3 linked regions of the Arabidopsis thaliana genome follow. The protein of the gene in region 3 interacts with the protein of the main gene of each other region in a pairwise test. Each region holds a gene or a part of one and is shown on either strand. Other genes may lie near its edges.

What was found.
Region 1: the proteins of RAN3 (region 3) and SIRANBP interact in a two-hybrid assay, tested with the Arabidopsis thaliana proteins (2 studies listed by BioGRID).
Region 2: the proteins of RAN3 (region 3) and AT5G53480 interact in a two-hybrid assay, tested with the Arabidopsis thaliana proteins (one study listed by BioGRID).

What each region holds. Positions count from the first base shown.
Region 1 is NC_003070.9:2,189,574-2,196,496, forward strand, and holds SIRANBP (Pleckstrin homology (PH) domain superfamily protein), read right to left. Parts: upstream 4,264-6,923; 5' UTR 4,116-4,263; coding exon 3,961-4,115; intron 3,841-3,960; coding exon 3,689-3,840; intron 3,583-3,688; coding exon 3,457-3,582; intron 3,041-3,456; coding exon 2,787-3,040; 3' UTR 2,106-2,786; downstream 1-2,105. Other genes in the region: AT1G07135 (glycine-rich protein), read right to left, coding at 584-1,051; MAPKKK13 (mitogen-activated protein kinase kinase kinase 13), read right to left, coding at 4,706-6,205.
Region 2 is NC_003076.8:21,710,788-21,720,097, reverse strand, and holds AT5G53480 (ARM repeat superfamily protein), read right to left. Parts: upstream 6,854-9,310; 5' UTR 6,616-6,853; intron 6,091-6,615; 5' UTR 6,083-6,090; coding exon 3,669-6,082; intron 3,588-3,668; coding exon 3,389-3,587; 3' UTR 2,220-3,388; downstream 1-2,219. Other genes in the region: ACBP1 (acyl-CoA binding protein 1), read right to left, coding at 7,707-7,883, 7,970-8,067, 8,149-8,240, 8,444-8,532, 8,655-8,757, 9,144-9,310. UniProt on the Arabidopsis thaliana protein: Acts as a negative effector of drought tolerance. Involved in the regulation of stomatal closure and in the abscisic acid (ABA)-mediated pathway that lead to drought tolerance.
Region 3 is NC_003076.8:22,389,300-22,396,183, reverse strand, and holds RAN3 (RAN GTPase 3), read right to left. Parts: upstream 4,122-6,884; 5' UTR 3,900-4,121; coding exon 3,897-3,899; intron 3,761-3,896; coding exon 3,691-3,760; intron 3,401-3,690; coding exon 3,344-3,400; intron 3,243-3,343; coding exon 3,125-3,242; intron 2,908-3,124; coding exon 2,818-2,907; intron 2,732-2,817; coding exon 2,552-2,731; intron 2,463-2,551; coding exon 2,385-2,462; intron 2,297-2,384; coding exon 2,227-2,296; 3' UTR 1,999-2,226; downstream 1-1,998. Other genes in the region: MGE1 (Co-chaperone GrpE family protein), read right to left, coding at 83-211, 300-467, 568-764, 853-1,024, 1,336-1,479; AT5G55180 (O-Glycosyl hydrolases family 17 protein), read right to left, coding at 5,623-5,668, 5,915-6,884. UniProt on the Arabidopsis thaliana protein: GTP-binding protein involved in nucleocytoplasmic transport. Required for the import of protein into the nucleus and also for RNA export. Involved in chromatin condensation and control of cell cycle.

The sequences.
Region 1 (6,923 bases), on a different chromosome or scaffold from region 3:
AACTCTATGTTTAAGTTTCTTTTGGTCTCTATGTTTAAGTTTATTTTGTAATATTTCGTATGCAAAATCTTTGAAAACCATATGTATTGCGATTTTATTATTTTGGTCTTTATTTCAAATTTATTAGAAATTTCTCAAGAAAAAAAGATAAGTTAAACGCTGAGTTTTACCATCATTAGTCTTTTTTTTATATAATTGATAGTCTAAACACACAACAGAGGAGAACCAAATTTGAATCTAATAAGCCCACAATAATTGGCCAATGAAGAATAATAATAATCATGATGATTAAATCATCCATTGGTCACTTTAACAAGTTAGCGTTTAAAAGATATAACGTTTAAGATTGAGGGAGGTTTAAATTTCACAATTTCTTATTTCATTAAATTTCCATTTACAAATGGCATACTAAAGATAACTCACTCTTAATACTACCAGTAGAATCCTGCTAAGAATCTCTTTCTACATATAATATTAACAGTCTACACCTTAATGTACCGTTTGCCCAAATAAATATCAGACCGGACCACAAACATAAACGTTACAAAACCAATAAATAAATGGCCAATAATTACTCTGAACCCTACTGAACCAAGACTAAACCGGCTAAAACCGATAAAGCCAACCAACAGACCGCACACATTGTTCCTCGAAGATTCATGCTGCCGCTTGATCTATGTGATCCTGCCGATCCACCACCCAGACTGCCATTACCACCACCCGTATGAATCGGAACCACCCCTCCGCCGCGTTTCCAGTCACGGCTGCGGCTACTACTGCTGCCACCTCCTCCTCCCCTGCTCCTACCGCCGCTTCGTGCTCCACCGCCTCCGCGTCCTCCACCTCCTCCACCTCCTCCTTTTTTGATAACGACAGCTAATTCCCGAGCCTTTCCTTCAAACACAACAACGTCTGGCTTTGAAACACTAAAAGGGAGAGTCTCGTGGTTTGTATCGACTGAGGAAGGTCGTGAGCTCACGGAAGGAAGATTGTGCTGAAGATGAAAGATGAAGAGAATGTACAAAACCAACCATGTTCTTCTCAAACCCATTTTCTTTATCTTTTCTCTTGTTTTGTCTGTATTATATCTCACTTTCCCCTTTGATCTATTTATATAAGCCTCAGAAAGAAATTAAACGCGGCAAAAGTGGTTGCCAGCAGTTTCGACGTAGTCTCTCATTATGATGCTGCCACGAAAATATCCAAAAAAGATTTATTTCTTTTTTAAAAAAAGAAATATCCAATAAAGATTTATTATACTTATCCATATTTATATTTATTGACCTTTGTTTTAAACAATATAGATTTTATGAAGGAGCACACAAACTAAAAAAAAAGTAAGGTTAATTAGGAGATAAGTGTTTCCAGATGTCGTGGATGGAAAAGAATTAATCCATCTAAATTCATTTCTGGTATCATGTTAATGAAAAATCAGTTAGATAGCAAATAGAATAAAAATGAAGGAAATAAATAGCATGATTATAAAAAGGTTTGGCCGCGTGTACAAGTTGACTGTCAGGGTCAATTTTGGGTTATAGAGCAAAGAAAAGTGGACCATATTGATGACAACTTTCACATGTCTACCATTCTTGATTTTCAGAATTTGAATCTTTTGATATGTTATATTCCCTAAATATTTATCAGGAAATATCTTATTACAAAACCTGATATTTTCTGTCAATTTGTTTTTTTTTTTGTAAATTATTTTTTAAATAGCACACAAATATTAATGTGTTTAAAGTTAGAACTCAAACCAATTTATTGCGATTTTCTTAAAGAAGTTTAGATAATAAGACCTAAAGTGAAAACAGAAACTATTTTCTTCTTTTTAGGGTTTACATATATTAAATTATAAGTAACCTGTCATCTTTTTAGTGAATAATCAATTTTTTTTTCCATAAAAAAATCTTACAAAAAAAAAAAGTTGACATATTTGAATTTATCCAATTAAGGGGGTATAATTCAATCAAATTAAAATTTAAAATCCAAATTTAATAAAGTTTGAAATCCAAGCAATTCATTGTTATGTTTAAATATGGTGTTATAGGAATGGTTTATATGTTTGTATTATTCCAAATTTATTTTAAAAGTGTTATAAATTTAATAAAATCTTAACCTAAGCATAATCCATTGTTATTCATTCACATATGGTCTTACTGGATATGATTTATATAAATCATGCTTTGGTAATTTTAGCACAGTATAGTACAATGTCATTTTTTTTCCGTGAACAGTTCGTTATAACTGAAGAATTTTATGAATACTGTTAATATACATTTTGGATCTTTATCAGGGTCAAGACTAGCATCGACTAACACAAGAGAGCAAAGTAGATTGGCAATTACCTTTTTTTTGTCAAACAATTGGCAATTACCTTAAGATTAAAAAATCACATGCATTAAATTTTGAAAAAAAAAAAATGGAGACTTCTGATTCTTGTCCATGGACAAACACATTTGTATCCTCAAAATAAGACCATCCAAAAAGGATCCATGAGAAAACTTAAAACAATGAAACCAATGTACTCTTTCAGATAACCAACATGAAAAAATATTTCACCCAAATCTCTCATATCACCCGACACTTTAGACTCAAAAACTATTAGACCCATAACGACTCAGCATTCAGTAAAACCCGACCCCAAGCGATCCCCCAACCACTTGATATGACTCGACAAAACATGTATAGATAGATAGTGCCAAGACAATGGTAGACTCATGATGCATCAAAACATTTCGAGGCTTAATTACCTCGCCAGGATTTGGCAACTTAAATGATGACGCTTCTTATGTTGAGGGACCACTTTCTTCTGTTTTCTTTGCTTCACCAGATTTCTCTGCCTCGCTCTCTTTCTTTTCTTCTGCTTTCACTTCAGTCTTTGCCGTCTCCACAGCTTTCGCTTCGGTTTTCTCCTCCGTTTTTGTCTCTTCCACAGTCAATTTCTCAAGAAGGCCAGCAGTGTCAGCGGCATCTTTGCTCTCTTCTTTCTCTTCTTCAGACTCAGCAACTTCCTTGAACTTTTGCATAAATGTTTTGCAATCTGACAAGGAAAATAAGATTTGATTACCCACAAGCATCTCTACTTTTCCCGGTTAATATGATCAACAGCTCAGAAACTACTGATAATATTTACCCAAAATAAAAAAAGAAACAGTCGACCATGTTGGCATATCAAATTAGTTGCAGCCTAAATACATACTTGACCACCTCAAGAACAATATTATCTCTTTACAATGCAATACCACAACCTAACCGCCACAGTACTTATTTTGATATTTCCTGAACCCAATAACGCATGCCTATGATGGAAGCTTTGAGAACCTCCAATTAACAAAGTAGCCATATAGCAATGCTAAGGTCAAGATCCATCAGTAATCTAATCCGTGAATCTATCAAACCAACTGAGACTAAATAAGGCAAAACACAAGCCATTACAAAATTCGGTTTCATACTCACTCTCAATAGAAGCAAATCGGATACAGAAAAGCTCATCCTTGAGTTCACCATCAGCAAAGTCACGAGCGTGCCACACACATGACTTTTCATTCCCAACGTGTTCCTGAACACTCATGCCCGATTTAACTGCAGAAATATCAGAAGCATAAGACTAGATAAGGAAACAGTAACCTAAATACAGATCCAGATGCAACTCAAAAACAACACAAAGTAGTCCAAATAGAAATTATACCGAAGTGATTAGCACAGATCTTCAAAGTTTTAGATTGCCTCATAACGAGACGAATCTTCCCAGTGTTCTTATGCTTTAAGAACTTCACAGTACCAGCTCCTCTCTCCTTCCACTGATTCGCATCCTTATCGAATCGATAAAGCTTCGATTTCCTTTAGATTCACAAACAAAAATTCAGTCAAACACACCAAAAGCTAAACCTTATAAATTCGATCAGATCCAGTTGACCTAGATCAGAAAAACTATAAACACCAATTAAGAAAAACACTTACAGATCAAGGACGGCATCTTCGTCTTCCTCGCCGGTAGTGACGGCAACCTCCTCAAGCCTAACGATCGGAGCGACCTGAGCTCCGGTGTCCTCATCCTCGTTAGCTCCGGCCTCTTCCTCGTCTCTGTGCTCGTGCTCGGGTTCGTTGGTCGCCATAGTATTTACTGAGATTTCCTCGTGGATTCAATTGGTCGCTACGGTGCGGCGTACGCGAGAGAGATAGAGAGAAGAGAATTTGGGGGTTTCGCAACACAGGAAATCGGAACGACTCATAGTTATACGGCGTTGAATTGAAGCTAACTATGGGCCGATTTCTTATGACAAAAAATATATATGGCCCATATAAACCCATTGTATCTGGGTTATTTTTAAAGCTATTTATCTCAAGGGAAATTAATCCTTTTTTAGAGAAATCTTAATGATTTATAGCATAGAGATTAGAGAAAAATCTTAAAGATCGAAAAAAGAATATGATGATATGCTTGAGCTAAACTCTATGTAACGACTTCGTTCAGTTTGATACATAATCGTACATGCATAACCTTGGTCCTTCAGGCCTAGTCGAAACAAACAACCATCTTCAACCGGTCCGGTTCCCTCTATGATTCATTTAAATGCTCCAAAATCCGAATACTTATTAGGATGAATCAAAAGTCTTCTAAAGCATAAAACCAAAGTCTCTTTTGGCCTCTTGAGTCTTCCACCAGCTTACGAACCAAAACCATTTGTCGCAATATTTTTTCACATTAAAATACAACTATTTGGCTGTAAACGAGAGTTATCAATATAAGGCAATGGCTCGTAATTAAGACACTCGATCTCATCTCACCGCGTAAAAGATAGTTTTGTCCGATCCGAATCACATGTGCAAACAAACAAAACTTGAGGCTGTGATTAAAAGACAACGTTTCGAGTTTATTGCTTTGATTATACTGATACAACAAATACATAGTGAGAACAATTTCCCTAAAGATACATGTAGTATAAACCATAATTTCCATTAATAAATGTAAAACCACCACAAATTCATATGGCAGCGCCGCCGCCGATCCCCCGTTTCCAGGCGGTAAATTCTGAGACATAGAAACGTCAATTATCGCCGAGTCACCAGCCACGTCATCGTTTGGATCCGATGATGTGTTATATTCCGATTCTACCCTTGTGGATCCCGAATATTCCATTGTTGTCCCTTCCTCTTCCGAAGCGTGGCATCTAACTTCCACCCAACCATCTGACTCCCAAATTACTCCTCCGGTCGTCGCCAAATTACAAATTATTGCCTTCGCCGCGTCTTCGAATTCTGATCTCCCTACTTCCTCTTCTTCTTCTTCTAAGTCAAACCCCGAGTTGACCCAGTCAAGTACGCAACGCGGAGATGACTCAGTCGGAGATGAGTTGTGACACTGAGAGAGAAATGGATGCTGCAAAAGCTGATCGCAACTCCACCTCTGATTCGGGTCTCGCTTCAGACACTTTTCTAGGAAATCACGGCCGATTTCCGACAACTTCGAGGGGAAAACCGGTAACTCGTCAGAGAAACTGATTCGACTCAGCGAGTCAATTCCGTGGTCTTCCCAAGCGGGTTTCCCAGTGAACATCTCGATGATCGTGCAGCCGAGAGACCAGACGTCACTCTCCGGACCTTGGTACTCTCGTCTGATCACCTCCGGAGCCATCCAAAGCGGACTTCCACGTGGCGTGATCAGAGCCCTCGGTGTGTGGATTCTGAACGCCGACCCAAAATCGGCTAACTTGACCATGGAGCTTTGGCTGACGAGGATGTTCCTCGCCTTGACGTCGCAGTGAACGAATCCTTGAGAGTGTACGTGGCGGAGAGCAGAGACAAGACACGCCGTGTAACGCTGGAGCAGAGTCTCGTCTTCGATTTTTCCTCCGGCTCTGTGACTAGCCACGTCACCGTTTGGGAGATACTCTAAGTAGAGATTCCTAAACGTCGTCGTTCCTTCTTTCGAGACTCCGTCGCCGAGAAACTTCACGATGTAAGGGTGAGGCTTTAGCGAGCGGAAGACAGATATTTCGTTCTCGAGAGACTCTGATTGAGTGGGGAGACTCGTGGCGAGATCCACGGATTTCACGGCGAAAACTTCACCGTTGGTTTTGCTGATCGCCGTACTAACTGCACCGAAACAACCTCTGCCGATACACGCACCACGAACCCAAAAAGAAGATGGTGAGGATAACATTAAAGAAGAAGAACAAGTGTTTCTGATGCTCTGTTTCTCCATGTGTGCCAACTTTCATATGTCGTACTTGTGCAACACGAAGCTATTTATATGCGTGTTTTGGAACTGCAAAACAGAAAATGTGAACGTGAAATAAAGTTGCAATTTTTTTTGTTTCTGACATGGACTATTCTTGTACACTTGTCTTTTCGATTTGTAAAGTCTCATCTTTGTAAAATTTCCCACGTGGATATGTCATGTACAACACAAACTTTCGAGTCTATCATTAGATTTTTGAACAAATTATACCATGTTCGATGGTCGGTTTGGATTTTAACAATTTTAATTATATATACATCTATTGAAATCTAGACTTAATCCTTACAAATTTTTTACTTTTATGGAATGATTAGTCGTTTTGAAAAGAGAACAAATAAATCAGAAAAAGGATCATTTTAGAAATTAGAAGAAAATGTTTTATGTCACTCCTAATGACACTTGGAGAAGTTCTTGGGATGTTTTTAAGAAACAATGCACTTGCCCTGTCTCCTTAATCCTTATCCACCAAGACTCAAGTTGCGGTTTGATCTTGTCCGCTAATATTTTACTCAGCAAAGATAAAATCACACACACCCTCTAGCTTCACGCAATCGTTTTCGTTTTTATAACCTCAACATTTAAAAAATCGTCTCTTTACTTAAGTGATCGGATCACCGATCGTGGAGAAGACAAATGAACAAAAACGTGCCTATAGATTTGGAACGCTTGATTTATTGACTTA
Region 2 (9,310 bases), 680 kb from region 3:
TCCTTGCGGTCAATGTAAATTTTACAGGGATCAAAATAGATAGACTAAGTTCAGTAAACTTCGATCACATAAACCAACATGGTAGGCAACTCCTAGACAGGGGAATAACGTAAGTAATTAGGAAGTCAAAAGATGGTTAGGGCAGATTTTAAAATCCGTGGTACCAAACACTAAATAATTTGATACAAATAAAGAGAAATAGTGGAACTAATCCTTCCATTTCGGCCTTCACAACTTTATAAGAAGTCAACTAGGATTGAGACAGACATAGCGAGTGGCCTGCAAAATGTATCAGAGAAGTGCATCTTTTTAAGTGACCCATTATTATAGTGAGAGACCACTATCCCCCAAAATCTTATTTTACAATTAATAAACATCGTTCCTCATAACATTATGTGTTTTGACCTAAAATCCATAATTCTACTAAATCCCAAAAACTAAAGAACTTTTACCCCCAAAAAGTCACCATATGAATGGTTATACTTATATATATGTGTGTGTGTATTGCACCATAACCCATATATTTTAGATTAGAAGACTTTATAAATCCCCTCTATAGATCCTTTCATATAAAAAAATGGTTTCGCACTTCAACTTTCTTAACTGGTTAATTATTTCCATCTTAAAATGTTTTCTCACAACCTCCAAGTAAATATCTGCAGTTTTCTATAAAAAATAAAATGAAACAGATTCTTTTTCAGCATCTGAATATGATAAAAACTAATATAGACTACACGTACATTAAACCAGCTAAACTGCTTAAGTAGAATCGTTGTACTATCTAAAACATTATTCACTTAACAGTTAACACATGTACGTGCAGCTCTTCTGTCCGAAGACTATGCATGACTTCACAAAAAAAAAAAAAAAAAAGGGAAAGTTCGTGAGTAGGGAAATAATCAATGTGTCGGCAATTATATGTTGCGTTTAAAAGGAGTGATGAATAAGAAACCAATGAGCCACTAAATTAGCAATGTTTTATTGGGCAACAACGTACGTGTCTTAAGTCTTAACTTCTGTTGTCCAATGTCAACTACACAGAAAGACGACGAAACGTACATCTATTAGTCTTTGACAAAAAAAAAACGTACGTCTATTAGTTAAAAAAAAAAGAGAACAAAAACACAATTTCAATACTAACATAGTTTACAACGCGAATAATAAATCACGAGACACCCACAACTAATAATTTCACTACTTTTCTTAAATATTTCCTTCGTTTTAAATTTTTAATATACAATTCATCTCATAAGTGTAGTTTTTTTTTCTGTAGAAGACGGGAGACTAAAAATTATAAGAAAAATTACAAACTTACTTGCCTTAGGCGCACATACCCAATAACATCATCGCTTAAGAGCGTATCAACATTAGAAGGAACAACATCAAAAAATGAAAGCCATCAGGCAATGAGAACGCATAGTTAGATCTATAAATGTAGTTTGAACCAAAGTTCTAGTTTTTATCCATTAAATTAGCTTATATATTAGGTTTTCGTTGTCCTACTAAACGAATTAATTTTCTTAAAAAACATCCGTTTTTTTTTTTTTTTCAGAGTTTTCTTTAATGGCGTTCATCTTCTAAGAAAGTATTTACTAATCATTATTATTTTTAAAAATGTATTGATCCGTAACCTTAAGGTAAAATGTGTTAGATAATAGCTATTGAAAGAAAAATTGGAGTTATTTTTTGTCGCAAGAAGTTCATGCTTTAATCAATAATTATGTTTCTTTTGACTAATAACTTGGATCGTAAGATTTTCTCCTTTTTTTGGCAGTTTCAGCTGACGACGCTCATATATCTTTCGGTGCTATTTCAGTATTGCATTTAAAGACTAAAGGTAAAGTTTAAAGTCGCAAAATAAAGTATTAACGCCGTAATGAAATTATTTGAATATGAAAAAAATCGTCGCGGACGACAAAAATGTTTTTTTTTTTTGTGTGTGTATCAGTGTATGTGATATATGTGGGTGTGCTTGGACAAGTCCTTTGACAATAAAAAAGGCCCACTTCGTATTACCACCATTCTTTTTCAACTCCCAATTTCAATTCAGAGTGGCGTGTCCTATTTCTCTTGGATGTTTAGCCATCATCTATCTTTTATGTGTTTTATTGTCCATTTGAGTGAGATTTAAATGGGTATGTCATCACAATGAAAAAAAAAAAAATACCAACAGAACCAACGTTTCTCTCGCCTAAATCATCAATTCGAAAAAGATATGTCGAATGAATTATGACATTATATATTTAGTTCAAGAGAAAAATTCTCGAGACGTCAGAAACATGGTTTGGGACTAATACATAGAACCGAGAGAAACTAATTTAAACCATAACTTGAATGGTCTAGAATGTTTCAAATACACATGAAAACATTTTTCAAAATATAGGTTCGGTATCAGTTGCATTTGGCGTTTGGAAAACCAAAAAAAAGCAACACATACAATCAAAATTGAGGTTTCCATAAACAGCGTGAATGTGAAATGTTCTTCGATCTCTTAACTTGACTCTTTGGAAGCAGAGTAAGGCAGGACGTTTTCTCCTATTAACATGTGCCCTTTCCCATATAGTTCGAGCCAAATCAAATAATGGATTCTAAACGATTGTAAACAGTTCCATAGTAAAATGAATAGATGTGGACCTCTTTAAGACCCTAAGACATGACACCATATAATAAAAATGTTCCTGTATGTGACATTTGAAACTTGATTGCAAACAAAACACAAGTATATATGCAAAACCCCCTAAACTGCATCATAGCAAAGAGAAGATAGACAGACATGTGAAACTTCTTTATATAAAAATAAAAATGTGAATAATGCTTTTAATCAAACATACAAACCCCCCCAAAAGACAAAATGATGATGCAAAGACTGCAACTAACCAAATAATAAAAGAAAACAAAAGAAAAAATCAAGGGATTGTCCTCTAATAATGCCCCCACTTGATAAAAACCTGAGACCTCTCCCTCCTCAAGGGGTTGAAGAACATATGAGAGAAAAGAAAAAACAAGAATGTATTATGAGATGTTCCATGAAACCTTTTTTTTTTTGGTATAACTTTGTCCCAAAACCCACCAGAAAACGACCATGACTCACTTCCTCCTCTTTCTACTCCCGGGGATTTAACCTTACCCGGGAAACTTTCACCCGTGACTCTTCCAGTTTCATTATTTACCCCAAAACTCATCATTCCCCACATCCACGACTCAACGATTCCCTGACTGACCCCAGTTATGCTGATGATGCAAATGAAACTGATGCTGATGATGCTGATGTGACTCGGATGTTGCAGCTCTACCCCTCCCCCCGACCGACTCAACCCACCCAGAGATGCATGCAGACTTTACTAAAAAGCAAAAGGAATTTTCTTTCTTATAGGCAAAAGAAGAGCCTTCAAACAGATATGGCACGGGTTATGGCATGCTTCGCCCATTCGGCTGCTTCTTTAATTGTGTGGTCTTCAGAAGACAAACATTCGTTTAAGAACTCTTTACTTGACACTGACTGTTGTATCAAACCACCCACATGACTCCCTAGTGTATCTGCTAAATCTCCTAAGACCCCAATCGCTGTCTTCATCACCACCTCGTCCCTGTCCCAAGGCAATTTTACCACAAAATTAAACAACTGCTATGACATAATAGAAATTCAGTTGGGTCGTAACCAAACTTACATGTCTTTCTCCATGTATATACTGTCCAAAAACTGGAGGATATGGGGTGCGAAAGGAATCAGGAGCTGGGTTTTGGCGGAGTTCTTGAAACCTTGAAATATGCCTGAATAAGCCTCAAGGATTCCGTTTCTCAATGAGTTTGTGTACTCCGTCATTTCATCATCAGCTCCAGCCGAGTGAGCAGATAACTCTGCGGCACTCTGAAGCATCGGCATTGAATACCTCCAGTACTTATCAAAATCCTCACCGATAGCAAGTGCTATGTCACCAAAACAGGAGAATATCGGTGGCTTCACTGATCGGTGCAATTGGTTGCTCGACAAATCTTTCAGAAGCTGTGTCATAATCCCATCGCAATAAGGTAAAATCTTGTCCTCCAATGCTCTGCAGACATCCCCAACAACACCAACAGTAACAGCACACACTTGGTATTCTTCAAAGTTTTGAAGACCCATCTCCAAGTACTTATAAAACTCAGGCATGTATTTGGCAAAATTGGGACCTGCTGCATAAGCAAGAGCACCAATGGCAAGCATGGCTTCCTCATGTGCAGTTGCACTTCTACAACCAAACACCCTCAGGAAAAGTCCCATCATTTGGTCTGCATACTCCATGAACTTAGACTTGGTTGGTTCAGATCCTAATTTCTGTATGATGACCTGCAAGCATCCACATAGAAGTCCCTGCAACTCGTTTTGTTTCTCCCTCTCATCCAATGAAAGCTTTTCCCCTTCCAAAGTATTGTGAAGCTCCATCATTATCACTGGTACTAATTGCAGAACCATGGTAGACGTTTCATCAGTTGAACACCTGACAACTTCATTCAATGCCTCATATGCTGCAGTCCGCAAGCGTGATTCAGTTGCATCCTCTCTGTGTGCAACAGCTAAAAGTGACTTAATAATTTCCTGGAAGAAGGGTGTTAACGGAGAACTGGGACCGATATCCTCATAGCCTTGAGCAAGGAAGTACAGAGCCCCACAAGCCTTCTCGGCAACATTAGGCGCATCATTCATGCTCTGGATGAGTACTGTGATTATCTGCTGGCAGTTTGCCTGATTAATAATAGGTGTCTCGATTGTTGAACCATGAAGGAACTCAAATATCCGACCAAGGGTCCATGCGGTTGTGTCTTTCACATGGTTGCTTGGGTCATTTGTTAGAGCATTGAGCATAAATGTTAACGCTGCGTTAACAATTGCCATCAACTTATCGGCAGAAGGGCCTTCCAAAATGGAACCAAAAGCATAAGTTGCAGCTTCTCGCTCTCTCCAATCAGGCTTTGATATTTTCTCTTCAATAAACGGCATGACATGTGGAACAATGTCATCTCCAACTGCCCTAGCAACCAAACCGAGGCATGTCCCACCTGCCATTGCAATATTCCAAGCCCCTTCATCCAAATCTTGATCTTCTTCTTGCTTCAGAAGAGTCTCCAGCAGTAGAGGCACAAGACCAGGGAGAGCCTGCTTAGTAAAATAAAAGCATGGAACATCAGAATCCCCAGCGAACTCACCACCATATTCTTCTAAGATGTCAATCTCTTCGTCACAAATAGAACTCCAGAACTCAATTGCCTGTAGAGCAACAGACTCGTCATCTTCTCTTACAGCCTTAGCTGTGATGTTGAATATATCTTGCATGTAATGCGCCAACTTCTCATAGTATGTGGAAGCGATAGATACCAAACACTCAAAAGCTGCCTGCCTAATTTTCACCTCAGGGGACAGGGTTGCTTCACACACAACTCTCATGATATAATCACGCTCCATGTCGTTGTTGAAATTTGCTTGGGCGAATCCGAGAGCCATGTATAAAGCACGGGTTGCAGCAAGTCTAACATCAGTATTACCTTCAGCAGCATTCATACCCTGAACAACAGCTGTGAGTATCTTATTTACATGCTCCTGTTCAACAACATCAGGTGACACTTCTTCACATAGGTATCCAAGAGTCTCCAAAGTGGCTTGCTTGACATGAGCAGGTAACTGGTGAATATTTGAGAGAAGAGACACTATGAGCTCAGGCCACTGCTTCTGTGGTAACTCAATACCTGCAACCTTAGCAATGACCTGAGATGCAGTCGAACGAACATCAGGCACAGGTGCCGACAGTGTCTTCAACAAGAAAGCTCTGATCTGCGACTTTGTTGACATGTCTAGAGCCAACCATCTCTGAACAAGCTCATACTTCCTGTGTTGTTCCTTAGCATCAAGAGCATTTTTAAGGACTAAACCAGCTAATTTCCTGCTATCTACTGGCTTCTCATCATTCGCAAGCTCTCCAGCAAGCGACAACAAGAAACCCGCAAGGTTTTGCTCCTGAAACTGCTTAAGACTTTCTTCCGCGTGCTTACGTACAGTTCCATCAATCGACTGAGCATTAATGAGCAACTGCGTAACCTCCATTGCCATAGGTTTATCTGCAACAGAAACAAACAGATTCAGCAAAACTGAAAATAAAGAAGAAGTAAGACAGAATCAGTAAATTAAGCCAACAACATGAAGAAACTCGTCAACGATCCAAAAAGCCATAAAGGTGAAAGACTACTAAATCACTATGAATCGAAAAAACCATGTAATAGCAATAAGAGATCAAAGCACGAGCCATTGACGCTTAAAAACACTGTCAGATTCAACTATAACAGCCAGAACAACAGATCCGAGCACGAAATCGAATATAAAACACGAAATCAAACTAGTTACTAAGATGACCAAATCAACAAGTTAATAGAACAAATGAATCTAACTAAAAAATCGAAAAGCAAATCTCAGATTACGAACGAGTTCAAATCATAAAACAGTGAACAAATCGAAACTAAAGTTGGAAATGGATGATTGAACGAATCGAGATCGAATCAGGAAAAAAAAAAAGCGAATTGGGAAGTGATGAATCTGAAGATGGATCTTAGGGAGAAAGTTGAATAGATGAAGTGAAGAAGGGTAACCTAGAATCTCGGCGGCGGCCGATCGGATAAAGCGGAAATCGGGGACTGGAGAGGACAAACCCTAGAAGCCCAGAAGGAAGAGAGAGAGAGAGAGAGAAGAAAAAAATCAGTTCCAGCGAAAAAGGGAAGAGAGAGAGAGAAGAGAAGAGAAGAATCGGATGTGAAGATGGACTTTAAATTTTATTATTAAACTTTTAACCAAATATTTATATAAACAAATAAAAAAACTGTTTTGAACACAAATTATGTAAATCTATTAATTTTGAAATTGTTTTCCAAACTTATATATATTTGTACTCAATTGTATATTTAGGTTTTGTTCAGTGTATCCTAATATTTTTATAAAAACTATATATAGGAAAATATCTTTTAAAATTACCCAATTAAAAAAAAGTTGTATAAATCTTCTAAATATGAAAATTTGTTTCCAATCATAATTGTTTGTTCAGTGTATCTTATTTTTTTCAAATAAAAACATAAATAGAAAAAAATCTGAATTACCCAATATATATATAAAAAGGGAAAATATTTTTCTTTATGATTTTTGCACACTAAAAATATATTTCTGATTAAAGAATTGATATAATCTGGAGTGATTATGTCGTACATCGCGTGTTGGGTGGTCCTTATCTGAACCCCACCTTATATATTCTCATCGTTAATTAATCAACGGTCCGGATTGTTTTACAGCGAGATGCGAAGAAGAAGATTTTTTTTCTTTTCTTATTCCGAAGGTACAATTTGTATCATATTTAAAATACTTATAAATTTTACAAGTAATCAACAAAATTGTTTTACAGGTATGATAATAATGATTCAGATGGCTGAAAAAACATGAAAGGGTCACGAACGAAAGAGAGAAACATTATACTAACAAAAAAAAAACTATTATTGAGTTATGATGATTGATGATGATGATCTCTCTGGGTTCAATATAGTAACCAATAAAAACTAGAGCTACTATATCATATGTAACTTGTGTTGTTGTATGTTAAAACATAAGCTTAAGAGGAAGCAAAGAGGCTCAGAGGAAATGTAAGAAAAACACAAGCATCTAGCTTTGACACACAATTTTAAAGACTTAAAAAACACTAATTGGAATCCTTCTTCTCTCGCATCCAAGACCATTCTGATTCACAGAGATCAAGAGGCGAGTTTCCGTCTTCGTCTTTAATGGTTGTATCAGCTTTCTGCTTCACCAGAAACTCGGCGAGTGCTTCTCTTTCGCACACAACAGCATAGTGTAGAGAGGTTTGGCCTTCATTGTCCTGCACAAAGTTTGTCAGCGACAAAAACATAAAAGTCTGTAATTGAGAGAAAGAATTAGTTTAGGGGGTTTTGGTTATTTATTTACTTTAGCATTCACATCTGCGTTCTTATCAACCAGAGCTTCAGCAACGTTAAGATGGCCACGGTCTATAGCCCAATGCAGTGGTGTTCGACCTTCACTATCTGACATTTCCAAGATGGAGAAACTGTTAAGTTTCCAAACCAGATCCGAACATTCTGTGAAAATGATACAAGACTACTAACCTCTTGCATTTACGGGTATGCCATTTTCTATGCATTTCAATAGATTCTCGACTTCTCCTTCTCTAGCAAAGGCGTGTATGGCGTCAATCTTCCTGGAACATGGAGTAAGAACGCAAGAATGAACAGAGCTTCTACTATGATTTAAACTAACACATGATTCTTTGATCTACCTAAGGTGAGTATTATGATATATACATTCCTTCTCTGATCTAGTCAGCTAGTCATATAGAGAAACTGAGAAAAGAAAACCAAAAGTTCATAGATGAATCTGTAACTAATTGCTTAGGAACCTTACAACTCATTGTCAGATTCCTCTTCGTACACCAATGAGCTAAAAACCGGTCCCATGGGGCCTGCAGCCTCACCACTCCGATTTCTTCGTTTCTAATAGTCCGCAACGAAGCAAACAAGCCAAGAAATAAAGACAGATTTAAGAACGAAAACAGACCATCCATAAACAGTCCAAAGAAATGGGAATAACAGAAGCAGGTAAGAAGACAACTAACCGAGCCACCTTCAACCCAAGCTGGGTAAAGCTGAGTAACAAGGTCGATATACTTCTCCATCGCTTCCTCAGGAGGCATAGCACCCAATTTCTGCCATGCTTGCCTAGAACAAAAAAGATCATAACAAATCTCAGTCGATCAAAATGCATCCCTAAGTTACCAATCAACAAAACAACAAAAGCAAATCCTTTCGGTACTCACACAAAGCAAGATACATCCAGGATGAAGAATAATCAGTACATCACAAGTAAACATGATTAAGTAACAATCTTCACAGTCATAAGATTTGAATCAGATCACTAATCAATACACCAACAAAAGCAATCCTTTCCATACATTAGCAATGAAAGATACGAACTTGGTGAAATCAAAATAATATACATCCATGATCAAGAAACATCAGTACATCACAAGTAAACATGATCAAGCAATCATCTTTCACAGTCCCAAACATTTGAATCAGAGAATCAATAAGAGTGTTAGACAAACCACTTGGCACGAGCAGTCATTTTAAGAGCTGATGGTTGAGGAGCAGTACAAGGTCCTTCAGTAGCAATTTTATACAATCCATAAAGCTGAAGTTGCAACTCATTAGAAACTTTCTGCGAAAGCCTATCCGATGCAGCAGCAGCAACAAAAGCCGTAGCAGCACTAAA
Region 3 (6,884 bases):
GATATTGTGTGGATTTCTAAAAGTTAACATAGGCTTAAGAGTTAAAGCAAGAAAGAGAGCAATCCTTTGAATAGTTTAGTACCTTTAGGACATGAGCAATTGTGCCTTTTGGCTTGGAAGCATCTGGGACTTGGAACACTGCGTTATGTCTGTTTGGATTAAACGGTTCATTTAAAGGATCTTCTTTCACCAAACCAGCTTTTCTAAACACCTGCAGTTTTACATACAAAATTGCATTCTCAGCACCAGTCTTATTATCATTGTTTACCTCAAAAGATATATATAATGGACGTTTTTACCTCAGCTAATTGTTTCTCAGTCATCTCCACTCCTTCTAATAGGTTTTTTAACAGTGGAGTAGCACCAGCCAAATCTTTTGAAGTGTCGATCTTCGAAAAACTCTCTTTGACAACAGAAGAAGCTCTTTCAAGATTATCCGCCACATCCAAAAGGCTCGTTGCAAAGTTCTGCAGCACAACAAAACATATTCAGCACTGGATTATACACAAAGCAAAACGAGTTAATACAAGAAAGAAGAAAAAGGATTCGCGGAGTAGAGAAGTAAACCTGTACAGCGAACTTTTTGGCGCTTTCAGCATTACGGTTAGTCCTGTCCATAAGATTCTGCTGCTCAGCATAAGTGCGAAGAAATTTATCTTTCATTTCCATTATGTCTTTCTGCTGAACCTTCAAAAGATCTTCCTTCTCACTCACAAGCTTCACTAAATCGTCTCTTGACAAATCGTCGAAGTCAATCTCTGCATCTGGAACTCAGAAAAAGAAACTCGTTCAGTATTAGACACAGTAATCTCTCTTTATTCTAAGTCAAAATACATGAATCTTTTGCCTCACCTGTAGCTTTCCCCACCTCCACATTCTCAGAAGTTTCGCCGGTCTTTGGTACTTCGGTGTTACTCTCATTTCCCTTCGGTTCAGCTGAGGAAGAGGAAAAAAAGCCGAACCTTTGAAGAACATTCAAATCTAGAGTTCCATGGTTTCGGAGCGACACTGGAACTGCAACAAGCTGCCATTAAAAAAAATGATCCAAATTAAGTAAATTCACTGTACACAAATCCTAGAATGAGCTTTATCTCAGCTTTCAAATTCACAAGGATTGCCAGAATTTCACATCCAAATTAAGACATATGAAAGAGCAATCAAAACATTAACATTCAGACATACACAATTAAATTCGTGACACTGTAATAAAGAAGACCAGAGCAATAGAATCAGAACATAACAATCTTTTGTTTAGACAAACCCCTTAAACCCTAGCATAAACCCGACGATAAAATCCAGAACGAATTACAAGTAAAATCAGCTTAAAAGCCTAACCTTGTTGGGGGTTCCGTGAACGAGGGAGTGAAATCGGCTTGCAACAATCGGAATCTGATTCCTCTTCGGAGTAACGACGGAGGAGAAAGACGAGCGTAAGCCTGCGCTGCGAGAAACTCTTGATAAAACCCTAGACACCAACATCACGGATGATTCGCGCAATGAATCGAAGAAGAAAAGCAAAAATCGAAACTTTTTTTTATATATTTATTTATGACTCTGAATCCGGCCGACGGAAGTAGAAAGAGGCAAAAAGGTTCTTGGGGAGGAAGCAAAATATTATTTGGGGTTATTTAAAGTTACGAAAATACCCTTAGCGATGCGTTAATGACTCCAAGAACTCAAAATCTTAGAAGCAAATTTTTAATGTACTCTAGTATGATATCCATAATCTGTTTTGATAGAGATCAGTATCTACATTTAGATACTTCTATTGGAGATGTCCTAAAACGCAATTAAAAAAATATATAAACAAAGAAAACCCTTCACATATCCTTGGTGACTCCATAAGTGGTAGAAATAATACAACATTCTTGATCTTTAGAACATCGATTGGCTACAGAAAAAAAAAAAAAAATGTTGTTGAGTATCTAAGAACTTGTGGTTTCGAAATGATTGATGTAAAAAAAAACTATTAAGTGTGTTGGGTGTGGAGAATTGATGAGATTGCGCGGCTAGGATTAATAGAGATACAATTGAAATTGTGAAGCATGTAAGGTTTGTAATCAAAAGGTTTTCACTTTCATAGCGACAGTTAAAAACTTAAAAATGAAAATTACTAATGTCATCGATTCATTTCAAAGTACGGACACATAAAAATAGCACCATGAACAAAAAAAAGTTCAGACAAGCCCTAACGGGTAATCAGTGACAGATCACATCTCTCTTTCTCTACTCGAAGGTGTCATCATCGTCATCAGGAAGTGGCTGACTTGCTGCTGCTGCAAGCTCCGCCTCATGCCTACAAATATATAATCGTTAATTGAAGAAAAGCCTCGAACTCAAACCTTAGCAACAAATTAAAACAAAATTAGTTTTAGAGAACTTACTGCTGCTGAGCAGCCAAGTCGATTTGAACTTCCGGGGGAGCAAGGGCAGGTGATTCCACAAAGTGAAGATTAGCGTCCCTGAGACAAACAAGCAACATCTCAATTTTCATTTTTCCGTTGTTTCACAATAACTACAATGAGGGTTGAATTGATGAATTGTTTCTTACCCGGCGAGCTTTCTAGCAAGGTACAAGAATGGCTTCTCGAAGTTGTAGTTGCTCTTGGCAGATATCTCGTAATACTGGAGGTTCTTCTTCCTGTGGAATGTTACCTGCTTGGCCTTGACTTGCCTGTTCTTCACATCAACTTTATTCCCACAAAGAACAATTGGGATGTTTTCACAAACCCTGCACCATGAAATTTGATGACATTTTCTGTTTAGCAATTTGCCACATACAACAAATGCTAGTTTCTGTGAGTGAGTTCATCATACCTGCAAAGATCACGGTGCCATGTTGGAACATTCTTGTATGTCAGTCGTGCTGTGACATCAAACATGATGATAGCACATTGTCCATGGATGCTGCAACAAAACAGAACACATTATTGTATCAAACACAAACTATTTGCAACAGTTATCAATAGTTTTTCATGTTGCTAGCTACAATCATCTTATTGAGCTTCAAACCATAACCAAGCTTCCAACACTAGAAGATTCTAGATTATAGCATGACAGTAGATGATTCTAGATTATTAACAAGGTCGGTTTTAAGTGATTTGTATGAGAAGAAAGTACTTACTAGTAACCATCCCTAAGACCACCAAATTTCTCTTGGCCAGCAGTATCCCAACAGTAGAAACGGATCTTGCCACAGTTAGTGAAGAAATCAAGAGGATGAACCTCAACACCAATAGTGGCTGCAAAAACACAAGAACACATGAGAATCTTTTGTGAGAATAAAAAAGGTTAATGACAAGTGATATATTTCAGGATGGGGCTTGCTTGCGAGAGTACTTACGTTCATACTTCTTCTCAAACTCTCCAGTAAGATGTCTCTTTACAAATGTGGTCTTCCCTGTGAACCAAACCAACATTTAATCAGAGGTTACTTGATAACATAGCCAAATGCATCCAACTACTGAAACAATTTGGAACAATCTCAGAATTGAACTACGACGGATCAAGATCACTTATACATACAGATACTAAGCTCTAGACAGACAAACTAAGTCAAAGCAGCATACTAATCAAAACTGAACTATATCAAAGCAATTTGATCCAAAATCGAGTTTCTGAAATAGAACTAAATCAATTCTCTGTATATATTTCTAAAACAAAAGAAAGATGAAGCTAGGGATTGGGTACCTGTGCCTCCATCGCCAACGATAACGAGCTTGAAGCTAGGGTAATCCACGGTTTGCTGGTTAGGTAGAGCCTGACAATTATGTCAAAATAACGATGAGACAAAATCAACAGATCACGCGAGATCGAATATAATGTTAAACCCTAAGAATTTCAAAGTAGGATCGAGAGATAAGTAGATCAACGCAAAGAAGGAGAGATAATTTTACCATCGGCGAAAGTGAAGCTATGCGAAGAGGGTGAGAGGAAGGCGGCGAGAGAGAGAGAGAGAGATAGGTTTTTTTAAACAGAGAGTATAGTGAGCTTAGGAATGACGCAGATACTCAAACCCGGTAATCTAGAATTGGATCCAGGCTCAGATCCGGATCCGGATCCGGATCCGGCCCAAAATGCTCTCCTGAATCCTGATCCATCATAGGCCTCGTCATTGTTATTACTACTACATTTTGAGCAAAATCATCAATAAGATAGAGTTTTATAGGGGAGAGGAGTTGGATTTGAGTTTTTTTTTTTGGTTCAATTGTTTATGAAGAAAATATAAAAGGTGTTAGATTTTATTTCTAAAGAATTTGTCTGTTTTTAATTATTTTTTTGGTAAAATTTAAAGTTTTATACGAAATTTTAGATTTTTTACATAACACGGAGATACAACGAAGAGAAATAAAAGACTGAAAACTACGCAACAATATAATAGAAGGCCACAAAAGAGAATGTAATTAATGAAAGGAACACGCTTTGATGGAAGAAGACACAAGGAAGCCATTGGTGTTGCCAAGAGTTAGCCGCGATGGCGCGATCCAAAGCTAGCCCTCAATATTTCAGAAAGAGCATTGTTTACAGCTTTTCCAATCAAGACTTACAAAAGCATACTCCACGAATGCGACCACCTTTCCATCAAATCACTCCCGCTGGCTAGAAGAAACTCGTGATATGGAAAGAAGGCATGACCAATTGAAAGCCCACTTAATTGGTTTGGAGGAGAAGTTCAAGTTGGTAGTAGTTGAAGAAAAAGCCATAGACTCATAGTCCATCTAAGAATATGTAAGTCTTGGGATGGTAATCAAGTACTGTATATGGTTTTGTTTTTAAAATTTTGAAACCGTGTTTGTACTATGTTTTGGTTAAATTGCCACCGTGTTTTGCGAGTACACTATCTCAATAATGCAAAGGGAAGGAAGTTCGATTAGCAACCACACGATGCTTACAATCCAAAACCTTAAGCTTTTTAAAATGACATAAAAAAGCAGAACATTCTTGCTATTTAAAACGTCTAAACTGACTCATCTAAGATCTTAGATATTTCTGGAGGAGAATACACATTCAGTAATAGAATAATAACAGACTTCACAACTATAAAAGCATTAAAGCTATTCTTGGTTCTGAAGATTCCATATCAAAAGACTTGATGAGTTTTCATGTAGTATAATGTATTCACAGAGCTTTGTGACAAACTATAACTCAAAACCCATTTTTCGAGTTACAGGCTTCTATATGGGAGTTGGTAGTGTAGTCGTAGCTCAATTGATGGTAGGCGCTAATCAAGTTTGATGAAGTAGGCAGCTCAAGGTTTTGACTCTGGAGTATTGGAATGAAACAATATGGACAATATATACTGTTGAGTTTTGCTTGGATCATGATCAGTTGATCACCAGCAAAACGAATCAATTTGAGATTTTGAAAATAATATTGCAATGTTGTTTATTGGATCAGTTGCAGGATATAATGGTTTATATCAACAAAGTTTTGTCAGTTTTATAAACTCACGAGCAAAGAAGTTAAGGCTTAAGGGGGAAAGAAAATCTGACTATTTATCCGATGAAACCAACCAAATATACAATAATAAAAATAAATATACGCAAATCATATACTCGAATGACAAAAGAACAATGTATCAAAATAAATAACGTAAATAAATCCGCACGATCCTCTTCTTCTCTATATCCATTTCAATGCCCTGTTGGAAACTCGCATTTCCCATACTCTACAAACACATAACCAACAAAAAATAATTAATTTAGTTTACGTTTCCGTCTATACGTCACAATTTAATTATAAATCTGTATACGTAAGTGAAGCCCAAAAAAATAACATTTGTTGTTAAACCATCCCAACTCCCATAATTATTATCTAACCATCTTCCAACTATTAAGAACGTGAAAATAACTATACTGTATATGCAAAATACTTACTAATCAAAATAAAATTTTGGAGAGGAAAGATAGGGTACTTACTAGGAGGTTGCGAGACCACGTACGCTGCACCACCAAAATTACACGTGCCAACTCCACGTGCGTTCTTCTGATAGTAACTGTTGAACGCGTAGGAAGCGTGAGCTTCTAACGATTCAGGATTATAACACGTGGCACCCGGTTGAATCGGACGGCAATCAGCACCTCCTTCGCCACAAGCGTAGTCGAGACCTTCCTGAAGCTTCTCCTTCGTCGTTTTACCATTCGCCACACACCACGTCTGTCCCACGAGCGACGGTTTCACCGGAACAACCTTCTCTTTGTTATCGTTGACCGGCGTTGACTTACCGTTGAGCGAAACGTCATACACTTTGTTCTCGTTTGGGTAAAACAACCCGTAGTTTCTCTCAGAAGTCGGACCCGTTTTCTGATTCTCGTTAAACAGAGCGAACAGATAAACGTTTAGTGGCTCCTTCGGTTTTAACGGCGTTCCGTTTCCCGTCAACACTCTTTTAACTAACCCGCCGTTATACGCCGCCGCGTTAGCCGAACCAGCACCAATCTCGTTCTCGTCTCCGGCAGAAGGCCAGCCTGTCTCTGTCACCACAAGCTTAACGTCGTTAAATCCAACGGCGGACATTGCGGCGAAAACGGCGTCGATCTGAGCGTCTAAGAGACTGTTATACTTCAAACCGTTACCGGAATCAACATTCCCGGCGTTCTCCTTAAACAACGCGTAATCCAACGAGATCTTATCGGCGTTAGCTGCGTAAGCAAAGAAAGGATAAGCATTCACCATAAGATGCGACGACGTTTTGCGGAGGAGATCAAGCATCGGTTTAATAACCGGTTCGATTAACTCCGGTTTAAACGAACCAGCCGACGGTGGATACGAACTCGCCAACGCGCTTAAAGCAATCGGCGACGAGATCTTAATGGATTTGTCGAGATTGAACTTGACGAGAGAGCTTTGAACATTCTTCATAGCTGGAACGAGATACGTCGTCG